7 linked regions of the Bombyx mori genome follow. The protein of the gene in region 7 binds, or shares a complex with, the protein of the main gene of each other region. Links are inferred from orthologs where the notes say so. Each region holds a gene or a part of one and is shown on either strand. Other genes may lie near its edges.

The links.
Region 1: small nuclear ribonucleoprotein protein F (region 7) and pre-mRNA-processing-splicing factor 8 share a complex: the UniProt entries of both Homo sapiens proteins name them as parts of the U4/U6-U5 tri-snRNP complex. The link is inferred for Bombyx mori from reciprocal best matches to the Homo sapiens genes SNRPF and PRPF8.
Region 2: small nuclear ribonucleoprotein protein F (region 7) and U6 snRNA-associated Sm-like protein LSm8 share a complex: the UniProt entries of both Homo sapiens proteins name them as parts of the U4/U6-U5 tri-snRNP complex. The link is inferred for Bombyx mori from reciprocal best matches to the Homo sapiens genes SNRPF and LSM8.
Region 3: small nuclear ribonucleoprotein protein F (region 7) and pre-mRNA-splicing factor ATP-dependent RNA helicase DHX16 share a complex: the UniProt entries of both Homo sapiens proteins name them as parts of the minor spliceosome. The link is inferred for Bombyx mori from reciprocal best matches to the Homo sapiens genes SNRPF and DHX16.
Region 4: small nuclear ribonucleoprotein protein F (region 7) and splicing factor 3B subunit 2 share a complex: the UniProt entries of both Homo sapiens proteins name them as parts of the minor spliceosome. The link is inferred for Bombyx mori from reciprocal best matches to the Homo sapiens genes SNRPF and SF3B2.
Region 5: small nuclear ribonucleoprotein protein F (region 7) and puff-specific protein Bx42 share a complex: the UniProt entries of both Homo sapiens proteins name them as parts of the minor spliceosome. The link is inferred for Bombyx mori from reciprocal best matches to the Homo sapiens genes SNRPF and SNW1.
Region 6: small nuclear ribonucleoprotein protein F (region 7) and serine-threonine kinase receptor-associated protein share a complex: the UniProt entries of both Homo sapiens proteins name them as parts of the SMN-Sm complex. The link is inferred for Bombyx mori from reciprocal best matches to the Homo sapiens genes SNRPF and STRAP.

Annotation. Positions count from the first base shown.
Region 1 is NC_085114.1:12,588,053-12,592,344, forward strand, and holds the start of pre-mRNA-processing-splicing factor 8, read left to right. Parts: upstream 1-1,492; 5' UTR 1,493-1,505; coding exon 1,506-1,692; intron 1,693-4,292. UniProt on the Homo sapiens protein: Plays a role in pre-mRNA splicing as core component of precatalytic, catalytic and postcatalytic spliceosomal complexes, both of the predominant U2-type spliceosome and the minor U12-type spliceosome.
Region 2 is NC_085112.1:10,370,835-10,373,094, reverse strand, and holds U6 snRNA-associated Sm-like protein LSm8, read right to left. Parts: upstream 929-2,260; 5' UTR 820-928; coding exon 529-819; 3' UTR 501-528; downstream 1-500. UniProt on the Homo sapiens protein: Plays a role in pre-mRNA splicing as component of the U4/U6-U5 tri-snRNP complex that is involved in spliceosome assembly, and as component of the precatalytic spliceosome (spliceosome B complex).
Region 3 is NC_085110.1:11,489,415-11,493,524, forward strand, and holds the start of pre-mRNA-splicing factor ATP-dependent RNA helicase DHX16, read right to left. Parts: upstream 2,801-4,110; 5' UTR 2,646-2,800; intron 1-2,645. Other genes in the region: WW domain-containing oxidoreductase, read left to right, coding at 3,455-3,483, 3,752-3,875. UniProt on the Homo sapiens protein: Required for pre-mRNA splicing as a component of the spliceosome. Contributes to pre-mRNA splicing after spliceosome formation and prior to the first transesterification reaction.
Region 4 is NC_085131.1:3,913,443-3,916,715, forward strand, and holds part of splicing factor 3B subunit 2, read left to right. Parts: coding exon 1-3; intron 4-890; coding exon 891-997; intron 998-2,540; coding exon 2,541-2,731; intron 2,732-3,273. UniProt on the Homo sapiens protein: Component of the 17S U2 SnRNP complex of the spliceosome, a large ribonucleoprotein complex that removes introns from transcribed pre-mRNAs.
Region 5 is NC_085130.1:3,027,623-3,031,800, reverse strand, and holds the start of puff-specific protein Bx42, read right to left. Parts: upstream 2,801-4,178; 5' UTR 2,676-2,800; coding exon 2,659-2,675; intron 2,488-2,658; coding exon 2,336-2,487; intron 617-2,335; coding exon 459-616; intron 1-458. Other genes in the region: uncharacterized protein LOC101746654, read left to right, coding at 3,485-3,526, 3,632-3,704. UniProt on the Homo sapiens protein: Involved in pre-mRNA splicing as component of the spliceosome. As a component of the minor spliceosome, involved in the splicing of U12-type introns in pre-mRNAs.
Region 6 is NC_085123.1:9,320,351-9,324,368, reverse strand, and holds the start of serine-threonine kinase receptor-associated protein, read right to left. Parts: upstream 2,801-4,018; 5' UTR 2,576-2,800; coding exon 2,461-2,575; intron 2,291-2,460; exon of another isoform or gene 2,024-2,290; intron 1,283-2,023; exon of another isoform or gene 1,251-1,282; coding exon 1,116-1,250; intron 543-1,115; coding exon 384-542; intron 1-383. Other genes in the region: signal peptidase complex subunit 1, read left to right, coding at 3,018-3,299. UniProt on the Homo sapiens protein: The SMN complex catalyzes the assembly of small nuclear ribonucleoproteins (snRNPs), the building blocks of the spliceosome, and thereby plays an important role in the splicing of cellular pre-mRNAs.
Region 7 is NC_085117.1:15,790,703-15,794,017, reverse strand, and holds small nuclear ribonucleoprotein protein F, read right to left. Parts: upstream 1,894-3,315; 5' UTR 1,816-1,893; intron 1,734-1,815; 5' UTR 1,723-1,733; coding exon 1,548-1,722; intron 890-1,547; coding exon 798-889; 3' UTR 501-797; downstream 1-500. Other genes in the region: RAB6-interacting golgin, read left to right, coding at 3,279-3,315. UniProt on the Homo sapiens protein: Plays a role in pre-mRNA splicing as a core component of the spliceosomal U1, U2, U4 and U5 small nuclear ribonucleoproteins (snRNPs), the building blocks of the spliceosome.

The sequences.
Region 1 (4,292 bases), on a different chromosome or scaffold from region 7:
GTTGATGGTTTCCATGGATTATTTTAATACATAAGATACTATTACGTATAGCACTCTCAGACCGAATAATACAGACTCAAAATATCAATAAAACTGCCAACTGATATCGCTTATTAAGAAACTTGTAACTTACTTTTACATTAATAAATTATTTCTTAGCATTGAAGTTAGCGTTTTACAAACTGTTAGCTTTATCAACTAGTTCTAATTTAAGTCTAATTAGATTATAGCATAAAGTTGATCTTTGATTTAAACAACAACTCTATGATAGCTATGCGCACCATCTTCAATCACATTCCTCATAATATGTTGAAAACATATAAGCTTAATTCGACAAATATTAAATTTTTCAATCTATGATCGAGAAGTATACCGTAAAAATAAAATTAGTAGGTACGTATACTTAATGGTTTTTGGGTTGATTTTGTAGTTTGGTTAGTACGAAAGTGTTTTGAATTCTCTTTGGTAGGAAGCTTTTAGTAGTTATTGGTATTACTGCCTTAAAATTCAGTCTATTGTCATTGATTTTTTGGCGGGAGGGCGAGGAGTGAAGTTGTGTGATTTGTTTTATTTTGTCTATTTGGTGTTTCTTCGGGCTTAAATGTGTAATAACGGTGGCTTATTAACTAATTAGTATCTGTGAAAGTGCACAAATGTGAAAATGAAACAAAGCCACTGAACGTAACTTCTCGGGATCTTCCAAAAAGTCCACTGAAAAAGTCTTATTAAATGTCCACCATTTTCTGAGATTATATTTCATCCTATATCATCTCATCTCATTTCATTTAATTTCATCCAAGTTGATTAATGTCTCAAATCAATCATCTTCATTTCATTTTATTTTAATCGGCCCTCTGGTGTAGTGGTAAGTGACATGGTCACTACACAAGGGGTTCGCGGGTTCGAATTCCGCCAAGAGAAGGTATTTGTATGATAAATATAAATGTCTTTTCCAGGGTTATGGATGTATCTTAAATATATGTATGTGTATAATAAAAATCTTACGTTTATTTCCGTTATCTGGTACCTGTAACACAAGTTCTTTACGAACTTATCACAGGACCAGTTAACGTGGTGTGATTGTAAGTAAAATATTTATATTTTATATTTATTTATATTTAATTTCACTCCACATTATCATTTATCATAAAAATAAGAATATAATATTATGTTAAAATAAGACATGACTTAAAAATCTAAATTACCAGGTCATAAAATCCCTTAGAAAAATATCAGAATGTATAATCTATGATTCAGTCTATTGCAAATGGCCGTCAAACAAATTGATTTGTATTAGAGTTGTTTGTAATTTTTTCTTCCAAATGTGGTGTTATATTAACTTTGTTGAAAGTGATACAATACATTTCAAGCCTTAAACTCGAAAAGGTAAGTAAAAAATGCTCAATTACAAGTATATTTCAAATAGTAATACCTCGTTCCGTTAAACAAGCTTTCATTTGATTAGTGATACTTATAAAGTTCTTCGTTGTAGTAGGCGGTCAGCAATGTCGCTGCCGCCGTATCTGCTGGGGCCCAACCCCTGGGCCACGATGATGGCGCAGCAGCAGTTGGCAGCGGCACAACAAGCGGCGCTTCAAGCGCACGCGGCTGCCGCTGCTGCTGCGCCCCCGGTGCCACCAGCGCAGCCCCCTAAACCAACTCATGTTCCCGAGGAGAAGATAAAAGAAAAAGGTCAGTTTAGTATTCAATGCTATGTATTTATTGTTAGATGTAAACTAGGCATTAGTACGGATATTGATGTAAAGAAGATAAATTATTAGACTAACCTAAAAAAAAAAGGACAACGTATTACCATTATTGATAACCGACTTTTAATATTTCATACAATTAAATGTTTATTTTTGTATCCATTGAAGGTGAATGAATATTTGGCATTCCTTATTGATTTTTGTATAAAAATTAATATTCATACTGATACTTACCATTGATCTCTTGAGTTACTTATTTCAAATCTATACTAATATATAAATCTATAATAGTTTTTACGGATATTCCGTTATAACTACTGAACTATGCATCAGATTGACTTCAAACTTGGTATCCATGTAGAAAATACATGTACTTAATGGATAGGCTAATATTTATATGAGTGTTGGGTTCCCTAATAATAATGTTAATTTTAAATGCCCAGCGTAGAGGGCGAGTATGGCTAGTAATTCATATATTTTATCAAATGAATAGGACACCAATTAAAGGTATGATTCTGTTAGTTAAGTTGGCCAAAATTCATACCCTATATCATATGCAGTATGGAAAGACGGTATATTATTGATTGCTCTATATTTCAGTTATGTATATAACATATATGTAAGATTAAATGATAAGAAAACTAATGAATGATTAGAATCATTGAAGCAATATAACAACCTGGTAAAAATCTATAATAAGAGGAATGTTATTATATTTGTGTACTGATTTTTTCAAGTCAACACTACATAACATCGCTGTTGTTAGCAAATTGTATCAGTGGGAAGAACATCAATATGGTAATTCTGTCAGTTTCATGGGTTTTGTGAAGACTGACATGTTATTGCATAATTTTGTCATTAGGGTAGGTTGCTAAATTTTAATACTAATAATAATCAGGTATTGCCATACTTCAAACAAACAAACATATTTTATTTGTTTAGCTATATTTCATATCTGATTCTTAGTACTAAATAATAATGAAAAAGAATGCCAGGAGTCAGTCACATATGCTTGTTAACAACATCCTACTGAATTTTGCTGAGAAGCATTACTGGTGGTAGGACTCTTGTGAGTCCGTGCGGGTCGGTACCACCACCCTGCCTATTTCTGCCGTGAAGCAGTAATGCCTTTTGGTTTGAAGGGTTAGGGCAGCCGTGGTAACTTTACTGAGATCTTAGAACTTATATCTCAAGGTGGGTGGCGCATTTACGTTGTAGATGTCTATGGGCTCCAGTAACCGCTTAATACCAGGTGGGCTGTGAGCTCGTCCACCCATCTAAACAATAAAAAAAGCAACCGTATCTAACTATGTCTAAGGTGTGTAGCTTCAGTCACATGGTGCAGCCTATCTATAGATCTATGAACACATAATAAGAGGTGTCTGAACTTATCGGCCTACTTAACATTTTACTCTAAAAATTGTCTAACAAGACATAGTGTATAAATTCTGTCTTTATGTCTAGTAGCTTTTTAGAATAAAGCAGAAACAGTAATTTTTTTTTATATTGGAATGTAGAAAATTTCTTGTTAATAATAAGCTTACCCTAAAGTTTTTGAAGTTGCTATTTAAAGATATGGTAGCAATTTAGCAGTTGGGGTTAGATTAATTTGCAAGTGATATATTTCCCTTACAAAGTTTAAATGGAAATGCTGACACTGCACACATAAAAAATGCAAACTTTTTTTTTCTCTAAATAAAAAACATACACATTACTGTATATTCAATTTTTTGATGTTATTTTATCTTTTAATTTAATTTAATTATTTTATTTTATATTACCACACTTTTGCCATTTGACTGACTCGGTGGTGCAGTACTCTGCAGTAGTTAGTAAAAGAAATCAAACAACATAATTGTAGCTATGGAAATATGTAATGTAACATATTTTATTGGCGGAATTCACAACTTTTTGCATTTCAGTTTTTGAGTTTGCATTTGAATGCAGTTAAAAAATATAATGACTTGAGTTAAAATTAAGTCAACAGTAAAGAAATCCTCATAAAAAAGTCAGTATAATCAACATGCAAAATTGTCACTAATTATTTGTATTAGTATTGATATTGTTAGGGGTACAGTACTTTATAACTTATTTGTCCATTCATACATGTGTTCTCACCAAAAACTACATCATTTAAACATATTATCTAGCTTTCTTTTAAAATCTATAAATATCTCTTTGGCTAATTATAAAAATATGAGCAAATTTTTCTAGTGTAAGATAAATAAAGCAAGAATGAATTGAAACTGTAAAATTGTATTTTTCACAGATATGATTTGTTGCATTTGTTTCTATTTAAAAAACTCCTTTTAATTATTTATTGCGAAAATGAGTAAACGAGCTTACAGCCCCTCTGGTCTAAAGTGTTTACCAGTATCCGAATCGAAAAATGAAGTCAATTGTAAATCAGTTGCCCTCGTCCTTCGAGTAAAAACGATTGACTATCTACTTTGCGTTCTTGCTTCTAGTACCCGCGTTCAAACTAACAACACGACATACTACCAGGAAAAAATTATCCAAAAATAAGCTTTTGTGTACATTATTTGCTTGTCTGGAAATAAAAAAAATTTAATTGGCATTTTA
Region 2 (2,260 bases), on a different chromosome or scaffold from region 7:
ATTATGCTTATTCTAAAACGGTTATTTATATGCCAGTTACTAGAGCACAAACACATTAAAAAAATTGTGTTGGTAACAGGCTAACTGAGCTGATTGTGATGAGACCCATTAGCAAATGAGAAATAAGGTTCTTTTAGTACCTATGAATATTTTTGATTCCTGTGAATATATTATACAGGGATTTAATGTATTTGAACCTTCATGTGTATTTTGTGAAAGAGTAAAACATATAACCCTTAATTTGGTAGTTTACAATAGGCATCATAAGTAACTTCCTAAGGATTATGTTCAAAGAAATGAACATATATCCAGGGTGTTGTCTATTCTAACAGGTATTACAGGGCATGCTATCACAAATCCTATTCAGAGAATGGAAAACCCAAGCCAGGGCTAAGATTAATTTTTATGGGTGAAAATATGTATTCTGCTTTGCGAATTAGTAAATCAAGACAAGAGACGAATACAAAATATGATATTTATTTGCCCAAATGAAACACCGATTGATAACAAAACATTTATTAACTAGTTCTAATGTACCATTGGTCCAAGTGGTTCTGCCTTGATGTTTCCGAGGTCTAATCTGCTATCAATTGACTCGTCTATTTGCCCGACTATTGCCACATTGTCTCCTCTGATTATGTGAAGTCCAAGTACTACTTGAGCGACGCCACTTGTGGAGGAAAACACTCTTTCGTGAGATTCGTCTAAAATAATATTTATTGTTTGGTCAAAGCCCTTAAGGGTGCCAATAAAATTACGTCCATCCGAAGTTATTACCGACACTGTTTGATTCACGTAATTTTCGAGTCCAGAAGCCATTCTAATTATTTTATTTATAAATTCAAATTAGTAATAATCAACATCAAACAACTATAAGAAATTTTCAAATTTCAGGGAGCTGCCACAGATTATTATTTGAAATGTGTACCTACACAGATTAGTATAATAGCTACTACAATTACTATTACTACCTACATGATTACTACATAATAAATAATAGTTTAAAAAAATAAAAAACACGCTTTATCTAAAATTCAACTAAAAAAATAGAAAATAAATTTTAATAAATTTAAATTGAATATAGTGTAAAATATATTTTATTGTAAAAAAAGCATGGGGTGCATGGTGTTATTAGTTATAAATATTTTTCTGACAGATATGAGTAGAAGAATTATTATTTCAATAATATCTTAAAAAGCACCCCACTCTTTTTTTTAAATAAAATATATTTTACACTATTTTCAATTTAAATTTATTAAAATTTATTTTAATTTTTTAGTTGAATTTTATATAAAGTGTCTTTTTTAGTTTTTTAAACTATTATGTATTTTAAATTTTCTTTAAAAGCGTATTTTTAAAACTATTAAGTACATTAACATCAATTCCTGCCTTATCGAGTATAGATAAAAATTATATAAATTGACCAAAATCTTATTTTATAAATTGAATAATGGAATAATCTTATCAAATTAGTATTTTTTTATCGGTCCTCGATAAATCTACAAAGTTTGAATGAATTCTGGCCGTTTAAAGTGGGTCAAAATCGCGTCTAAAGGAGTCAGTTGCAAACATACATACAAGTGAAGTTAATATAAAGCGTGTAAATTGGGTAGAAAAGATCTGACGGATCATATATTCACAAATTATTATGATACACCAGCAGCCAGGGAACCGGGGTAAATTACCTAAAATGAAATTTTGGGGCGTAAAAATGAAACTTTTGTGAGTAAAAAGTATATATTGAAGTGAAGCTTCTTTAGAATCGTTGTGATTTCAAATTCGATGAAACGAAATTAAACGAAACGAAAAATAAGTCCATAGAGACACAAACACATAAATATATAGGATTCAGCCGGCGAGAGAATGAGATAGAACACATTATTTGGAAACACAAAGTTCACGTGATTGACCCAGGTATTTTATTGTAGGCATCGTGTGAATTATAAAATAACAAGAAATTATCAATTACTTATATTCTCTGTGGGGGTGATTTTTTTTCCTCAACTGTATATTACAGATATTACTATTATTACCGTTATGTATTACTATGTATTACATTGATAAATTGAATAAATGATGCTTAAATTAAATTTTTAGTTTTTTCTTTTGAAAATTATCATCGGGGCTATAATATGAAAGATACTAAAAAGAAGCGATTTCATATTTTTTTTGTTCTTCGCCATGGGGTAATTACCCAACCAACCAACTTAAAAAAATATATTTTGGGGTAATAATTAAAAAAGTTCCCCGACCGCTGTGA
Region 3 (4,110 bases), on a different chromosome or scaffold from region 7:
CAATGAGGGACACTCATCAATAAGAGGAGCATAGGCAGGAGCCAATCTGTTAATGAATTGTAGGGCGATGCTCCGTGAGATATTGGGAGAATTTTGAGGGAAGCATCCGCGTCTAAATTTTTTATAATTTTGCCAGACTAGGGAAGACGGGGATGAAGGTGAAAGAGAGGAACAAAATTTTTTCCAACTCTCATACTTTTTTTTCTTGAATGTGCGCTTGGATTTAGCCACTATTCTGTTAAATTCCCGAAGGTTGGAGAGGGTCATATTCTTGATGTAATTAAATTCAGCTTCTTTCCGGGATTTAATAAGGTCTGTGCATTCTCTGTCCCACCAGGGAGGAGAAGATAATTTTCCCAAAGCTGAATTTTTCAAGGGAATACTCAGATCTGCAGCAGCTGAAATGGAATCTGAATACAAACTCAAACAAGCATCCAAATTGTCAAAAGAGATTTGGGGAAAGGAAAGGATTCTTTTATCTAGATTCTGTTGGTAAATGTCCCACCTGGCGTCAGTAATGCGATACTGCAATAAGGGAGTTCTATTTTTGCTGGGGAGAGACCTATTGGAAAAGGTAGAACAAATAGGGTAATGATCACTACCGTATGTTGAATTAAGACGTTTCCAGTCTAGGGAATTTACTAGTGTGGATGAACACAGTGTTAGGTCCACACAGCTTCTGCTTTGACCCGGTCTAGGGAGTCTAGTGGCTGATCCATCGTTAAGGACGTATAACCCTATTTCATCTATTAGCTCTGCCAAATATGTACCTGAAGCGTCACAATGGTCAGATCCCCACAAGAAGTGATGACAATTAAAATCTCCCATAAGAATAATTGGGTTCAATAAAATACATAAATTTCTTAGGAAAGGAATACATATAGGGACAGAAGGAGGGAAATAAATGGAGATAAAATTAATACCAAGGATGTTAACACCAATGGCATTAATCTCGGCTCCATGAGGAGGAAGAGAAAGAGAAGAAGAAGGGAAGACATTGTTGACCAGTATAGCAGCACCACCATACCCGTCATCACGGTCATCACGGTAGGTGCTATAACCTGGGATGTGAAATGGGAGATGTGGCAAGAGCCACGTCTCAGAAATTGCAAAGATTGCGGGATTATATAAATTGATTAAATGGAGAAAGTCATGTTTTTTTGGGAGGGCGCTCCTGGCATTCCACTGCAAGAGATTTAGATCCATTATGGTGGGAAAAAATAGTGTCAATTATGTCATTGGCAACGTGGTCAGGTAGGTTAATTTTAGTTAAAAGAGAAGCTAGTAGTTTAATTAGAGAGAAGATTTCACTAGAGGGAATATCTTCAGAAGGAGAAGAATTTTTACTGAGAGCGCAGCCATTAGTAGAGGGAGAAAAAGAGTAGGAATTAGTAATAGCTCTATGGGTTCTTTGATCATAGCCCGGGACGTGAGGGGCATGACTTTTAGGCTTCTGGAGGATCGTTTTTCTGTAGGAGGAAGAGGAAGTCTGAGGATGGAAACGTAAGGACGAGGGGGCTGAAGGAATAATATGAGTTGTGGGAGGGACTGATGCTGAAACATCAGCAAAGGACTTTGACACAGTAGGGAATGTTTTGGATGCTTCTGCATATGAGATGTTGTTCTGGGCCATAGCAACTTTAATATTTTTTTGTCTCTGGTATTCAGGGCATTGCTTGCTATTAGCACAGTGAGGTCCAGAGCAATAAAAGCAAGTTGGGTCCTCTTTAGTGCAGTTCTCACCAAAGTGTTCATCACCACAGCGGAAACAGCGGGGCTTTGAGCGACATTGAGTTTTTGTATGACCGAATTTACAGCATCCAAAGCATTGTACAGTAGGGAAATAATATATATCTACAGGGAGGGAATTGAAGCAGCAAAAGACACGTTTTGGGAGGGTCTGACCATCAAATGTAAGAACCACAGAGGAAGTAGGTTTCCACTCTGGTACCCCATCAGTAATAACTTTGTGATTAATGCGTCTCACCTTCAGTATTCCGCCACAACCAGATGGTGTCTTAATATTTAAAGCTATCTCTTCTTCTGACCAGTCATTAGGCATACCCTTAATAATACCCATCCTAGTGATATTATAAGTCGGGATTAATGAGGAGTATCCATTTTCTAGCAATTCTTTGTTGGTCAAAAATGAGTTTGCATCCTCTGGAGATTTAAACTGGACAGCAATCCTATTCCGACCTATTTTTTTGACTCCATCAGGAAGAACATTTTTAATATTAAGTTTGATCATCATCTGTCCAAACTTAATGGGGTGGAGGGTAGTTCCCGATTTCGGGTCAGATTCTGTACGAGTAACATGGACCAAAAATGGAGCCACATCCCTCGCAGAATAGCGTTCGCGACTATACTTATTAGGTGCTAACGGTCGTTGTTGTTTGGAAGTAGACGAAGCAAGATCATTATCATTGTTGGTTTCGAGAGCTCGCTTACGATGATGTGCCTCAATTGACTCGAAACTAGTTAATGGTACAGTAAGGACTGGTGAGTATGTAAAATCACCCTGAGGATGTTGTCCCTCATCGTTCCAGGTTAAACTAGGATCTGGGGGACGTCCAGGGGGTCGATCGTCAACCTCCATGATCGGCCCGCATTGACTACGCGAGATTAAATAAATGAAAACTTACCTTATGACTTCACACAAAATTTGACAATCACAACAAGAAAAACAAACACAGATAGATATAGGCAGCAAAAAATATAACCAAAAACACAAACAATTAAAAATTAAAAGGAAAAGTCGTTCGCATGTGCTAACCATCAAACACCGTCTCCTTAGTAAAATTGATTGTTTTATTTTTCACTTTGACTTTGACATGTTTTGTTCACTTATAAAGCAAAGGGAACATAGTCCGTACATGTAGTCAGACTAGTTAGACACGTCTTTTGAGAGTAAAATTAAATAAAACGAACCGAAATAATTAGAAGTAGAACAAAATTATATATAATCTTGTTTTGTGATTTTTATGGGCTTTAGTGGCAACCGCTTAAACTAGATGCTTTACGAGCTCCTGTTCATTTACAGGAATAAAAACATACAATAATTTAATATTTTATGCGAGTATTTTCGATGTATATGTACTCATTCGCGAAACAGCTGCGCGAGCAGATTGGCATCCTTGAGGACGCGCTGTAAAAGCTGTGAATGCCTTGTAGATATCCGTAGATAAAAAAGATAAAGTTTCCGTTAAAATCTTTAAAAGATCCTGTAATTTAGTACAGCATGAAGTAAAACTGAGAAAAGAGGATTTATAATAATATGTAAACCTACTTTTCATACCAGAAAGTGATTGTTTTCTCTACCTATGTTCTTTACATATATTTTTAATGACACGTCCTGTACAAAAATAAAAATACGGTTTATGTGCAATACTTTCTGCTTTGTTTCCTTATAGCAAATATATACAGTTTGTTTTTAGTATCATTTTATTAAGTTATGCTACGTTTTGTTGATCGTATGGCGACGTAAGTATACCAACTGTAAAATTATACTTGCGACTTATCGGTTTCTCATATCGCGCTACGATATTTCGAATGGACGGCTAAGTAAATGTTATGTTCTTCAAAAATGCGCTTACTTTGTGTGGCAAGTAAAGCTACTTGGAATAGCTGGTATTTTATAAATTAGTCGATTAATCACAATTAAAAATAATTGCAATTAGCGGCTGAGAAGAATATAAAGTCATGTGAGTAATTTTTCTAACATTTAATTTTATTAATCACTCATTTTCAGCGTCACAACTCGAAACCTCATTTTAAATGATAAAGTAAGAGCCTTTAGTTCTTCTAAAGTCAAATCTTTGGTTGAAAATTATTTTGATTTAAATTTTCGAATACACGGACCAACTGGCGAAGAGGTTTGTTACATTAAAATTTGTCCTGTTAATGTCTACGTAAAAATATGAATTACATGCAACCAATGCATAAACATTTAAATTATTAATTTCATTTATTTTGTAGTGACCACTTCCAATAAGACGAGTGGCAAGATGATTCGATTTCTTCTCACCAAGACGAACAAAGCACGAAAATAAATATTCTGTTTTCTTTTTTCCTTATTTTGATCTAAACGTATTTTAAATTGATAATAAT
Region 4 (3,273 bases), on a different chromosome or scaffold from region 7:
CGGGTAATTCGTTTTGAGTAAATTCGCAATTTTGGCGGGAATGCGAGGAGTGAAGTTGTGTGATTTGCTTTATTTTGTCTATTTAGTGTTTCTTCGGGTTTAAACGTGTCATAACGGTGGTTTATTAACTGTTTAGTATCTGTAAAAGTGCACTAATCTGGGAAAATGAAACAAAGCTGCTAAACGTATCTCGGGATCCTCCAAAAAGTCCACTGAAAAAGTCTCAGTAAACGACCACCATTTTACTGAGATTATATTTCATCCCATATCATCTCATCTAATTTCATTTCATGCCAATTGATTAAGTTTCCTTCGTTTTTTATTATTCATAAACTGTAAATAATTAAAACGACTAATTATAAAAATCTTAGTACTTGACGCTGGCTAATGCACAAACCGTGCCGGAACTAAAAACTAAAGAAGAAGAAGAAGTAAGAATTAGAAATTTTAAAGAGGTGTTACAACAGTTGAGACACGTTTAAATATTACTGCTGTACTATGCCCACATGTCTAAAATAAATCTATTTGTTGAAACGACCCGCGCACCACCTGTCGTACGTCATTGGTACTACGTCAGCATTAAACCTAAATGCCAATCTGAACGCCACGAATAGATTTGGGAATCCATCAACACCACAAACAATAGAGTCGGTTCGTTAAAAATAGTGGTGGTAGGAGCTCTTGTGAGTCTGCGCGGGTAGCCACCATCCTGCCTATTTCTGCCGGGAAGCAGTAATGCGTTTCGGTTTGAAGGGTGGGGCAGCCGTTGTAACTATACAGAGACCTTAGAACTTATATCTCAAGGTGGGTGGTGCATTTACGTTGCAGATGTGAAGCAATAAAAAAAATCTTGGATTTGTTTTAAATAATTTTTTTTTTTATTTTTTCAGAGGAGAGACTCCGGCTCTGTACCAAGTACTGCCGGAGCGCCGCGTGGGGGTGACGTCAGGGATGATGGCGTCCACGCACGTGTACGACATTAACGCAACGAACCCCGGTCAGTGCACTCATCTATATCTATACTTCTATACTAATATATAAGTCTACAGTGGTTTTTACGGATGTTCCGTTATAACTACTGAACCATTCATCCGATTGACTTGAAACTTGGTATCCATGTAGAAAATACATGTACTTAATGGATAGGCTAATATATATATATGAGTGTTGGACTCCCTAATAATAATGACCACCATAAATAATAATGTTAATTAAAATGCCCAGCGAAGCGGACGGGTACAGCTAGTTATTGATAATTATATTTTAAACAGGATTTTGTTCGCGTTAATGTGATAGAGATTATAACTCTCAGAGACATATTATTTTTCTAGTAAAAAGATACATCATGTAATGCTCTACATCCCTGTCAACGTCTGTTGCACAATTTCATGATAATCTATTGAGTATTTGTTACGAGAAAACATACAAACTCATCTTCGTATTTATTATTTTAGGATGGGTTTAAATAGACTTAATGAGATTTCATAAGGGAACAATGTTATAAAACTATACTATGTAGGAATGTAAATTGACGATGAAACATCGGGTATACTTTCTGATTGAATTAGTCAGTATATCGACGCTTGAAAGGCAAACATGACTAAGCGACAATGATTGCTTTGTACATAAATGATAGGTAATTACCATATTCGATGCGCAAAAAAAATTTATTTCTAGGTCTATTAAAATTATTTCAATCTTACAGCTACTAGCTAGATTCTACTACAGCTAGATTCGTTAAAATATTTTTTTTCCAGGTATTACAACTTTAAATTAGTCTACTGTAAAGTTCACGCATTGTCGCTTAGTCACGTTTGCCTTTCAAGCGTCGATATGTAGATTTAAAAAAAAAAACTTGAATTAGTTGCGGGGTTTTAGGAATTAGGCGGGTTTAAGCCTTTCAACTTTATGTGTCATGATAAATCATAACTTATATGTATAACGAATCCCATCCCGCGTGTATTTTGAAGTTGGGGTATCGGCACTTTTAATTTTAGCTTAAACAAGTACATTCTTATGATATAATATTTTGTATTTGTGTAAGGTCATTTTTAAGTTAATTTGAAGCTATAGTTCGTTCGCGTTAAGAATCCAGTGAGTCATCATTGTTCGCAAATCTTTTTAAATTACAAGGTCAAGTTCACTGCAGTGACAAGTTGATAAATTCGTTAATTGTCTATGATTGATAAATTCGATGAATTAGACAAAATTAAATGTGCTATAAGAAGAAAACTACACTCGATATATTTAAATAATATATTTATTTATTTAATTTATATATTTAAATAACCCAACATTAAATAAAATTATCACAATTTTTTTTGTCATAATTAATATATTAATGATTTCATTTTGATTTTTAACTTTTAAGTGTATTTTTTAAATTCATTAAACTTAATCTTTGAAAATATAATTTGTATGAATTTTACACCACTGTGAATACATCTTTACTCGCAGTTGCACTGGTGACTCACTGCATTCTTAACGGGAACGAACTATAGGGATAAGAATAGGGTGTGATAATATTATGTGGTGCATAGTGAAGCGAGCGGGCGCGACCTCGACGGGTCACGGCCCGGCGGGCGGCGTGGAGGTCACGCTGGACCCCTCCGAGCTGGAGCTGGAGCCCGAGGCGGTGGCGGCGCGCTACGAGCGCCATCTGCGCGACCAGCGACCCAACACCCACGAGGACCTCTCCGACATGCTCGCGGACCACGTGGCCAGGCAGAAGGTGAGCAATGCCAGAGACACAGCTGAGTCGCTCCCTATTAGGGTTGCCACCCGTACTTTATTTTAGGTATTTTTACTCTATACTTTATGTCAACAATAAGGTACACGAAAATATGTACTCTATTTGGCATGATTTGGTTTCTTAGGGATTTTGAAAAGTTTAGTCATATGAATTTTTTTTTGTAACCGAAATACATCGATTGCTCAATCGATGTCGTCACTCGCCAACGGTACATCACCTACGCACTCGTTTTCTTAGTTTGTTCAATTGTAATAAAAAATACGTATTTAAAAATAATAATACATAATTAAAAATACACTGTACTTTATTTAAATACTATATTCTTTTTTCCTACCTATAATAATCAATGTACTTTATCTGCAAAAAAAAGGTGGCAACCCTACTCCCTATCGCTGATACCGCAACGCGCAGTCTTATAGTTAGATTTGAATTCTCATGATAACTATCACCTTGATTCGAGTTGTAATCAAACACGTTGGGATGGATCATTAAAACGTATTGTAATTAAAACTTACCCGTCT
Region 5 (4,178 bases), on a different chromosome or scaffold from region 7:
CTGTTGGTTGGAAAAATTTCCAATAATACTTTCCTAGAGATGGTTTCAGGAAATGCTCAAACTATGTTACTGCTTATTTCTCAATTAATATTATTTAATGTTAAGTTATCGATCCATTTAGATGACTGGTTATATGATACAAAATTGAAATCTGTGCAGAAATAATTATGGTACCATAATATTTGTTCATTCAACTAAACAGGCGCCTTTTCCAACAATGACATCAATGGTCACATTTAAATTATTCTACACAGACATATTATTTACAGTCAAAAACTTTTAAAATAAATAAAGATTCAGAGATTTTTAACAGACTTCACAGAACTTGTTAGATGTTTTAAATTATTTCTCTAATCAGCCTATTATGTGTTTACATATCTAAGTGTTTAGTAATCAAGGACTTCAACAATAATATCTATTGTGTTCTCATTCACCATGTCAAATAATTAACTGATCACCTTGTCAGCGCTGTGTCCTTGTCTGGCAATCGCAGAATATTTGACTCTCCCAGACTCATCCAGCTGGACAGCAAGAGCGTTTGAAGTACTCTCCTTGCCTCGCATTCCCATACCAAGCGGGTACTGTGCCACATGGATCTCTGGGAATGCTCCGCCATCTAAAACATACAAGCTTTGAAGCAATACTGCGTATATAATTAATTTTAGGTGTAATTTGAAAGTACAGTAAGACCCTGACATAATGCTGACTCGTTCAGTGGGATTTCAGTTTAACTCTCTTTTATTTGAATTGTAAGATTTGCCTGAAGAAGACCTGAAATTGCACACGGCACTAGGCTTCCCGATATCAGAATAAATTATTCTGTGTTTTTCCTATCCTGCAGTGTTATCCAACATATTTTTATCATTTCAAACATTTGTTGGTGTTATTGTAAGTACAAATTTATATGATACAATGATTGATAAAGTGACAAATATTTTTATTTTAAGTTTTTATCATGGGTGTTAACAAAAACACAAAAATAAAGCAACAAGAAAAACTATTTCCCTAGAAACTAGATGCAAGCTAATAGAAGATTAGATACTGGTGAATGTCAATCTGAAATTGGTGCTGCATTAAATTTGGCAACGACAACAATAAGGAATCTGGCAATTTTTCCAATGAACGTACTTAGCAAATGTTCACAAGTGATTTCCACTGTGAAGGAATAACATCACATAATAATAATCAAATCCACAAAATTATAATGCGTAATTACTGGTGGTATTACGTATTGTGAGTCTGCACGGGGATGTATCACCACCCTGCCTATTTACACTATAAAGCATTAATGAGTTTCAGTTTGAAAGGTGGGGCAGCCGTAGTTAAAGATGAGACCTTAGAACACAAATCTGAGGGTGGGTGGTGGCATTTACGATGTAGATGTCTATAGGCTCCAGTAACCACTTAACATCACGTGGGCTGTTAGCACATCCAACCACCTGGCAAAATAAAGGCAGAAAATTGGCAATACAGAAGAAACTGTATGAACTGAAATACAACATAAACATACAGACTATATTCATTTATTGTTTCTATATTTGTAAGAAATAGATTATTGTTTTATAGGAGAAAGATAGACAGAAAATTGGTGAGGTATTTAATGTTATATACCTCACCAATTTTCTATCTAACCTAACCCCATTATTTACATTATGAGATTATGTTTAATGCTGTTTCATATTAAACTCTACTTTGATGGAATGTATATTATCACTCATTAAGCAAGTTCTTACTGTAAATATATTATTACAATTTACATTTATTTCATTACACAAGCTTGTATACACCTGTATCCCAAGCCATCACAATAGTTACTAAGCTATGTATTTTATTATTAAGATTATATTATTAGGCTATGTAGTTTTATGTCACAAAAACCACTTTAATTATAATAACCTGGTTTTTTATGTAAGAATGACATTCAGAATTACTGAAAGATCTAGTTCGGTATCCAGATTCCAACACCCTGCGGCATACCGTCTCTCAATTCACATGAAAGCCACAGCTACTGATTAATATCTGGTTAAGCACAGGTCAGAGGTAAACATGCTATTGTATGCATAGAATCAATGATGACACTCTTTTTCTGACTTCAAATAAAAAACCTAGTTTTTGACTTGATTCTCACTTCGGGGGTTATTCCCGTCTCTCAATTCATATGAAAGCCACAACTACTGATTAATATCTGGATAAGCACACGTCAGAAGTAAACATGCTATTGTATGAATAGAATCGATGATGATACTCTTTTTCCGACTTCAAATAAAAACCTACTTTTTGACTTGATTCTCACTTCGGGGGTTATTCACTTTTTTATCTACAAAATTTAACAGACCTGCAAAATCTTCGTCTCTTCGAGGTACCCATCCTTTCCTCTCACCGTAAGGTGGCACACTGGTCTGGGACACTACAAGAGCACTCCCGACACGTTTAGCCTTCAACTCATCATCTCTATCCCACACTTGCTGACTAGGGGCAGGCAACAAGCTAAAAATGAAACGTGAACCACGGTCAGTTTGTCAATACGTAAACGTATGAAATTATTTATTTACAATAGTTAATTTAACTAGTAGCTTTAATCAGTTATTATTTAATTTCGGCGTTTATTGTATATTCAATTTCAAGTATTTAAGTTGATTGTTTTCATTTAAAACACACCTCGACAACGACGCCATTTTTATGTCTGAATCTGAAATACCGTAGACATTTCACTAATTTGACATTGTTCATTTATTTTGACATTTGATTTATTTCTCTGTACGATTCGTCCAATGGATAGTAAAGAGAACTATCCTTCAATCTGATCTTTTGTTATAAAGTCGTATGTCTGAAAAATGGAATGGAATTGTTTTTATGTAATCTAATTTTGTGATAAAATGAATGAAAGACAATTTGAGTTTGATTTTTTCTTCCGCAGAGATTGTAAACTAATGCTGAGGGGGTCTTTTCAAATAACACAAGACGTATTATGTAAATCAAGGTACACTGTCAGCAAGGTAGACATCCGAACCAACTTTTGTTATTTAATTTCGCCTATACATTAAATAGTACCATTGTTGTTGATCATTGAACGGTTTTTTTGTTATCAATCCTGAAGGAATTCGCAATAAAAATTCATAGTTCTCGATGCTGTTTTTAAAATGATATTTCTGAACGATTTTTTTAACTTGACTGAAACAAAATTATTCACAATCACAAGTCATCATTCTTTTCGAAATATATGTTTTCGGACTGTCTTTAGAGTTTAAAATGAAAAAAATATTATCATTATCGCCATAGCAATGAATTTTAATGTTCAAAATTTCAATGTTTCAAAATGGTCACAAAAAGAGGTGGAGACGAACTGTCAAATTCGTATATAAATGAAGTAGGCTGCGAACGTCTCCCTTTTATAACCTCAAAAATGCGCGAGAAGTAATAGTTCTATAGACAAATTTAACTATTTTTCCTGTTTAATTGGTGTTATAGTGAACGTACATACAAAATGCCGTTGAAGAAGAGAAAATACAATGCTAGATTTCCACCAGTAAGTTCAAAAGTTCTTAAAAAATGTTCAAAAACCTTAAAATATGTGTTGTTTTCATGTATAAAAGTCTGAGATTAGTGAAATCATGACATTGTTTGTTTGTAGGGACGTATCAAGAAGATAATGCAGACGGATGAGGAGGTGGGGAAAGTAGCACAGGCAGTCCCCATCATAATTTATATCCTTTTCAATTATAATTTTATAAAATATCTATAATTTCATAGCAGTCTGTCTTTAAGTCAACACAGACTGTACAACATTTTCTTTACTATTTTAACAAAACGTATTTGTTCTATGCAATTCTTTTGGGCCAATTAATGAGCAAACAAATGTGCTATTAGTACAAATAGGGACTAAGCCATGAAAATGTTTATGTAATGATTATTTATTATGTTTTATAGTCTGGGTGCTCTTTAGATTATATCATGGAAGATAAAGTTTTTTTTTTCTAATGACACATAACTATTGTGTATATGTATGTGGAAATTGTGTGTATTACTGCTTAAATTAAGCAGCCTGCAGTTGGAAGATAATCACTTAAATGCAATTGCATTGGATTTTGAGGGGCTTGATGTGAAATTTACTTAATAAATCATCTTGAATTATTCTATTATGAAAGTGAATAAAAGATCCCTGAACTCTTAAGACACTA
Region 6 (4,018 bases), on a different chromosome or scaffold from region 7:
TTAATTAACCACCCGCCCACCAAGAACATTTATGCTAGGCAAGTAAGCAGGATTTTGATCGGACCACTATTGCTAATAAAAGGAGTGATCCACAATTGTCAAAAATATTTTGACTGTCATCAGTTAACAAAAGAAATCAACATAATTTTTCTATGAGATTAATATTAAAATTCAGACCACATATTGTAGGCTTTGATAATATATACCAGCCTTTTTTGCTGTATTCAGTTTGTCATATCTATGGTCTCCAGTAACTACGTAACAATAAAGCAATAATAAGATTATATAAAGAAATTTTAGTTCATAGTTACTATAGTGGTCTTAATTCATTCAAAAACTAGTCTAAACAGTAACATAAACCAAATTAAGCAACAATTACATACGTCCAGCTTCAAGCTTGTTGAGGTCAAAAACTCGTATAAGTTTCTCATTGCTAGCAGTCACCAACAATGTGTCATCGGCATTGAAATTGACACTTTTCACAATGTGTTCATGTTCAAAAGTGTGGACCATATCACCATATCGAGCATCCCACAATTTTGCTGTAAATATAAAATTTGATTTTAAGTAATTTGTAATAGTTATTTTAATCACTTTTTACTAAATTTACTATTTTGGGTTTTGTGACCAAAAATTATCATTAACTCAAAATCTACACACTCGAAATAGGTTAGGCATATTTTTAGTTATTTCAAATCGTGAAATCGGTCACATATCACAGAGTGGAATGGAAATTTAATATGAAAAAACTTTTTTATATTATTATATTTATTTCAAAAAATATGTATTTTGTTCAGCATTTTAGCTTCACAAAGCACTTTAAGTACATATCTAAGAAAATACTCAGAGCTTAAACATTTAATATTTTTGGCTTCTTTCATTACTATTTTAGTAAGTCAGTGGCTAAAGTAGACCATGGTATTTTGTGTAAATGACAAAAATATTATAACTTTAGATCATATTAATAAAACAAAAAATTCAAACCTATGAGATTAAAGTACAAAATAATCACTCACAGTGTGATATCCTTAATCTAATTAGTAGCTTATTTGAAGTGTACAGTTTCAGATTTACATTTCAATAAAAGCAGTTTAACTTACTTGTTTAATATTTACCTGTAAAATCGGCTGCCCCACTAGCAGCCAAGTTTGCATTTTGTGTAAGTGCCACACCCCAAACAGCACCCTTGTGACCTTCAAATGTTCCAATCCAGTCACCAGTTTCACCTTGTCGTAACATAGGCTTGCCATCTTAATAACAAAACATGCCATTACATTATAATCTGAATAAAAGCAAAACCAGAAATCATATTAATAAAATATGAGGAATAAACAACCTTGTTAACAGTGAAGATAGCTCATTTATGTAAATAATTAGACAAATTAAGCATTCATACATAAACTATGTTGATACATGAGATAGTATATAATGATAGTAAAAGACAATCATAGCTCATACATTGTTTAAAGCTCTTTGTAAATTAACTAGTTGCTATTACATTTTAGTTTTGTTATGTTTAAAAATATCTGGTTATTGCTTTTTTACAACTACTAAATTATTTTCAGTGTCCAGATTATAACTCATAATAAGTTTCTGTTGATATTATTTTAAAATTCTGATTTTGTATAAAAGAACACAAAACATGATAACAACTATTAATTATACAAGGAAATAAATAAACAATACTACACTACATAATAACAACATTCAAGTATGCTATTTCCTGATTTTTATACTTATTTACATATAAAAAAAAGATTAATTCATCAGAGATTAATGGAACTATTAAATCAGAACCAAAACAGGTAACAGCTAAAACCAAGGATATCATACAAACAAAACATGTAAGCCAAGACTTGAATATAATTAATTTCACATTAGCAATACAAGGAAGTGAAAATTATAATAATTATCATTTATTTCTGATTTTCATTATAATAAAATTTACAGATAAGTCATTGTGTTAGAGTATTATGTTGTCAGAACTCCCATATCATTATTAATAATGTCAAGTACAACAAACCTTGAGCTGGTACAAGGTGACCCAGAATAAGTGAAATGTCAACATTTAATTTAATACAGGAATAAACTTCCGAGCTCGCTCCAAATTTGTATGCATTCAAAGTTGAAAAACTTGTATGTCATGCACTAGCCTCTAGTACATGAATAAAAAGCACGACGCGGCCCAAGGCAAACTGGCGCCGAGGAAACACACAAGTGGATATTCAAGGTGCTTCCTGCATGTCCGGAAAGAGAAGGTCGCAACATGCATAGAATGCACGCCGGCCAAACCTACTGTTCAGAACAAAACAACTAAAGTGAAGGTCTCATAAACGTAGCACGACGCCCGACATTTGTCAACGTGAAACACACCCCACTAATATTAGAAAAAATTATGTTTCCTATATATGTCACGACTAAGGCAAAAGCACCCCAAACGAATAAACAATAAAAACTTACCTTTGCAGGCAGAAATCAAATAATATCCGTCTTTTGTAACGTCACTAAAATCCAAATGCACGACTGGTCTCGTGTGGCCACCGCATGTAAGAGGAACTTGTTTAAGCGTTGTCATTTTGTTAAATTAATTTTGATTGTTGTACTTTGGAAAAATAAAACTAAATTATCTTTTTGTAAAACTAAAATTAACCTAATGAGTCTGATCGTACTGAATGTTGACAATCGACTGACGGAAAGGAAAAAGCAGTATTACTAGAAAATATCTTAAAACTACTATCAACATAGCTTTGTTGCAAGCCATCTAAATTTTAAGATATGGCTAAAAGTTTTTTGATAAAATAAAATTTAGGAAGAACAAAAAAAATATTGGCTAATAAAAAGAAACGTTTAGAAATCAGTTTTATAATACTGGTAATATCTTTTATGACGACGTCAATTTAGTATTGACGTGTCTATTGCTTGACGTTTAATGTCAGACCGTTTAATTGGTTACTTCTGATAAGTTTCTTCAAAATAATTTGTTGTTGTGGCAAGTGATATTAATCTAATTTAGCAAGATGGATTTCTTTACATCTATACCAACCCACATAGATTACGTCGGACAAGCAAAAGCAGAGAAATTATACAGGGCAATAATTACATTGTTCAGTATAGTTGGTTTTGTATGGGGTTATATAGTTCAGCAATTCTCGCAGTCAGTGTATATTCTTGGTGCTGGATTTCTGCTTGCTGCCATTCTTACTGTTCCTCCATGGCCAATGTACCGACGCAATCCTCTGAACTGGCAGGTTCCTAAGAACGGTGATGACAAACCAGCAGCCAAGAAAGGAAAGAAGTGAAATTCATTATCTCAAAATTTGTCTGTACAACTTTTACTTCTCAAATATATCCAATAGTTAATAAGTTTTAATTTTGTTTTATTTACATAACTGTCAATCTTAGTTTACACACACTTAAACGCACTATTATAAAATATGTACCAAATTAATCTTTTGAACTTTTAAACTAGCTAAGAAATATATGCACGTACTACAAAAATAAACTCTTACTATTAAGGACAAATGTTTTAAAATGAAACTATTATTAGTTACTTAGATAGATGTGCTCACAGTCCAACTAGTGTGAAGTGGTTATGAGGCCCATAGGCATGAACAACATAAATTATGTCATACTTGAAACATGAGGTCTAAATGTTAGTGCTATAGAGCAATGGCTGCCTGATCCTTCAAATTAAAACACATTACTGCTTTACAGCAGAAATAAGGTTGTAGGAACTACCTATGTGGGCTAACAAGATGCCTTAACACCAATAATTACAAAAATTATCATTTTTACAGGTTCGGTTTGTATTTCCTTATTAGTATTTCAGTGTTGATGTCAATGTTATGAACAATGATAGGTATGAATATCCAAATTGGTACCTTAATGAAAGAAAACATTTTCTGTTTAAATCACATATATTCCTTATGCAAACCAAACATTTCAACAAAAATTTTACTTGTTTCCTATTTGTGACAAATTATGGCATTCATTGTTGCTCAATGTTTATCATTATTAC
Region 7 (3,315 bases):
TGAGTGATGATTTATGTAGTGGGCTATGGCAACTACTTAATACCAAGTAGGCAGTCAGCTTTTTTCTTCATCCAGAGCAATACAAAGTGTGCAGCAATTCGCAAAATGTAGAAGTGTAACCTGTAGGAGTTTTCTATCTCGTTCTCTCACAGACTAGATACTATAAAATAATATGCATCTCTTTTTAGTCACTTCTAGAGCTTTAACTATATTAAAATAAGGTTGTATTATTTACTTTTTAGTTTCAAATCATAACCAGAATGAGAACCAAAGTTTTTTTAAATGAAAATTGTTTTTGCGAATGAGGTTGTGTTTTTAAACGAATTTGGAATCTAATACCCAAAGGCCAAAAAAGAGCAAGAAGGAATGGGGTAAAATACATTGAAGATCATTAGATTTCAATATATTTCCCTGTTTTCACATGCTCATTTTTTGCAAGGACAATATAAATCGCAAACCTTTTCTTGTAAAGTTAGTGTTGAGAAAATAAAACAAGGTTATGGTGAAAATTTACTTATAATTAATTATACAAGTTATGGAATTCATGCTGAAGAGGTTGTTTCAGACATAGTTATTAAAAAAAAAAAAGTATTAAAGTTGTTTCATTTAAACATTGTATACAACAATAGTTCCAATTAACATTTTTCTCCTCAATCATTAGTATTTCGGGATATATACCTAAGGTAATTTTACTGCTAACAGAGTAATATGAAATTTCTATTTTTTTGCTTAAAATTTCCCTTTTGCCTGTTATTCTTAAGATAATTCCTTATTCTAACTTATGTAATAATTACTAATTATTCTTTCATTTCTCCTTCTTCATCTTCTTCATCAGCTCCTCTTACATACAAGACATTATTGCATCTTATTAAAACTTCACCTAAATTACCTGGAAATAAAACCCAATACTTAAATTAATAGGGTTCTTAATTTAGTGTTTTGTATGTATGGACTAACAGAACTAACTGAACTAGTATTCAAAACAAACGCCGTTAAAGCTTTACAGAACTCTGCTGATATGACTTCATTAAGTTTGATGTAGCATGGACTGAATTACAATAAAAAAGATTCTTAAAAAAAAATATAAAAAAAAATATTTAAATGTTAAGATTTGATTTCTAAATTTTATTTACTAATTTAAATTAATTAAATTCACAAAACTATTCACAACCAAAAAGTTTGGTTTGGAATCTTGTAAGTGTCAAGTTGTCTCTTGTTATGAAATTTATTGATTTTGTGCATTCTTTGTAGCAAGTACTTTTTTTTTCTTTAAAAGGGCAAATGAACCCCATGACATTTAGTGTTAAGTGGCTTCTAGAATTTATAAGTTTATTACAATATGAATATTAAATCTACTCTTCAAAGCAGAATGCTTGAAAGCTTTGAAGTCGAAATGGGTGCAGAATAGTGTACTCATAATAGACCAAACAAACAATGAACGTCTCATTTTTAATTCAATTTTGGTCCAGGTCCACTACCAGTAGATCTTAATCTCTTGCTTTAATATGTTTTCGTGATTACTTAAAGTTGTTCACTTAAATACTAACCTGTACAAGTTCCATCGACAAGTTCTTCAGTATTAGCAAGTTGCAAATTCATGTAGCCATCTGTTGATACTAACAAACCTTTGTATTCATGACCCCATTTTAATTTAACTAGCACGGATTTACCCGTTAGACTATTAAGAAATGGTTTGGGATTTATTGGCATAGCAGCCGCCATTTTTGCAGGTTCTAAAAAGTAAATTGGATGTTAATTCATTTTCAAACCACCTTTATTGTTTTCATTGCTTATTTAAGAAACATCAGTACTTACTTTAATATCGGCTAACAAGAAATACAAAATATAACCTCAAAATGTATCGGCTTCGCTTCGAGTTCGACGCTAATTTCTACTCATAGATATTTTTTTATTTTTTATTTATGAAAGCATTGAATTTGCAACACGGCCATCAGCTACTCATAGATAATACACCACCATAGATAAAACACAGGTAGTTTAAAATTTATTATAATTAGTTCTTTCTAGGACTTTTCGGCGGGAACGCGAGGAGTGGTTTGTTTTATTTTGTCTAATTAGTCTTTCTTCAGGTTTAAATGTGTAATAACGGTGGCTTATTAACTGCTTAACTGTAACTGTGAAAGTGCACAAATGTGGGAAAACGAAACAAAGCCACTGAACGTAAGTTCTCGAGATCTTCCAAAAAGTCCACTGAAAAAGTCTCAGTAAATGATCACCATTTTACTGAGATTATACTTCATCCCATATCATCTCATCTCATTTCATTTCATTTCGTTTTCATTTCACTTCATGCCATGTTTCATATTATTCAACTTCATTTCATTTCTATAATTTTCATATAAAAAAGTTACGTAACATAAAATTAAAATAAGACTTGACCTAAAAGTTTTAGTTAGTCCAGGTCATAAAATCCCTTTAAAAAAATGTAGTAAAAAATTAATAATAGTATGTATTTCATCTTATTATTATTGAAGCCCAGTTGAAAAAAAAACTACAGAAAATGGTAATTATTTTCTTTAATTTATATAAACATAAAGTCCTGAGAAGTCAGGTCCAGTGATTTTGTTATATTTCCACAATCTTTTACACTTTCAAATATGTTTAACTAATAGAGAAGGGCTTGTAGCGACTAAAACGACACACCTAAGCTGAAAGTTCTCAACGTATTTGGAGGAATTCGCTATTGATAAAATGTGAAGAGAAGAAAAAATATGTGAAAAGCTTCCATAAAACTATATATTAGCAATAAAAACATTTAGATAAGTTTGTTTAATTAAAGATGGTATGAACGATCTTTGGCCTAACTAAAAACCATCAAATAATTGAAAGTAGAGTCGGTTTTTTTATAAAACTATTTTGGGAATAGAAAACGAGAACTTCAACATTGTGTGTTGAAGTGCTTATGCTGAGAGTAGAGCTATAACACCAAACCATTTTAAAGACAAAATGTACATATTGTTAAAATAAATGTTAAATGGATTCGAATAATTAAATGGGCGAAACACTATTTCAATGGGTTTTTGGCTTAAAAGACCAGAATTCAATCTAACGTGATTAAAAAAGTTCCAATAACGTCAAATAGTCAATGTCAAAGTAGTGTTGCAGAATAGTAAAAATTTGATGTGAATCAGTGTTGAATCAATGAAAATATAGATTTTTACGTTTACGATCTATCTATGAGTTTTGCAATTTTTTACATTAATGCACCTTATATGAAAAACATAACCCTGACATATCTATGTAAAAACAAATAAAACATGTCACAATTTACAGGTTTTAGTGAAGATGACTTGG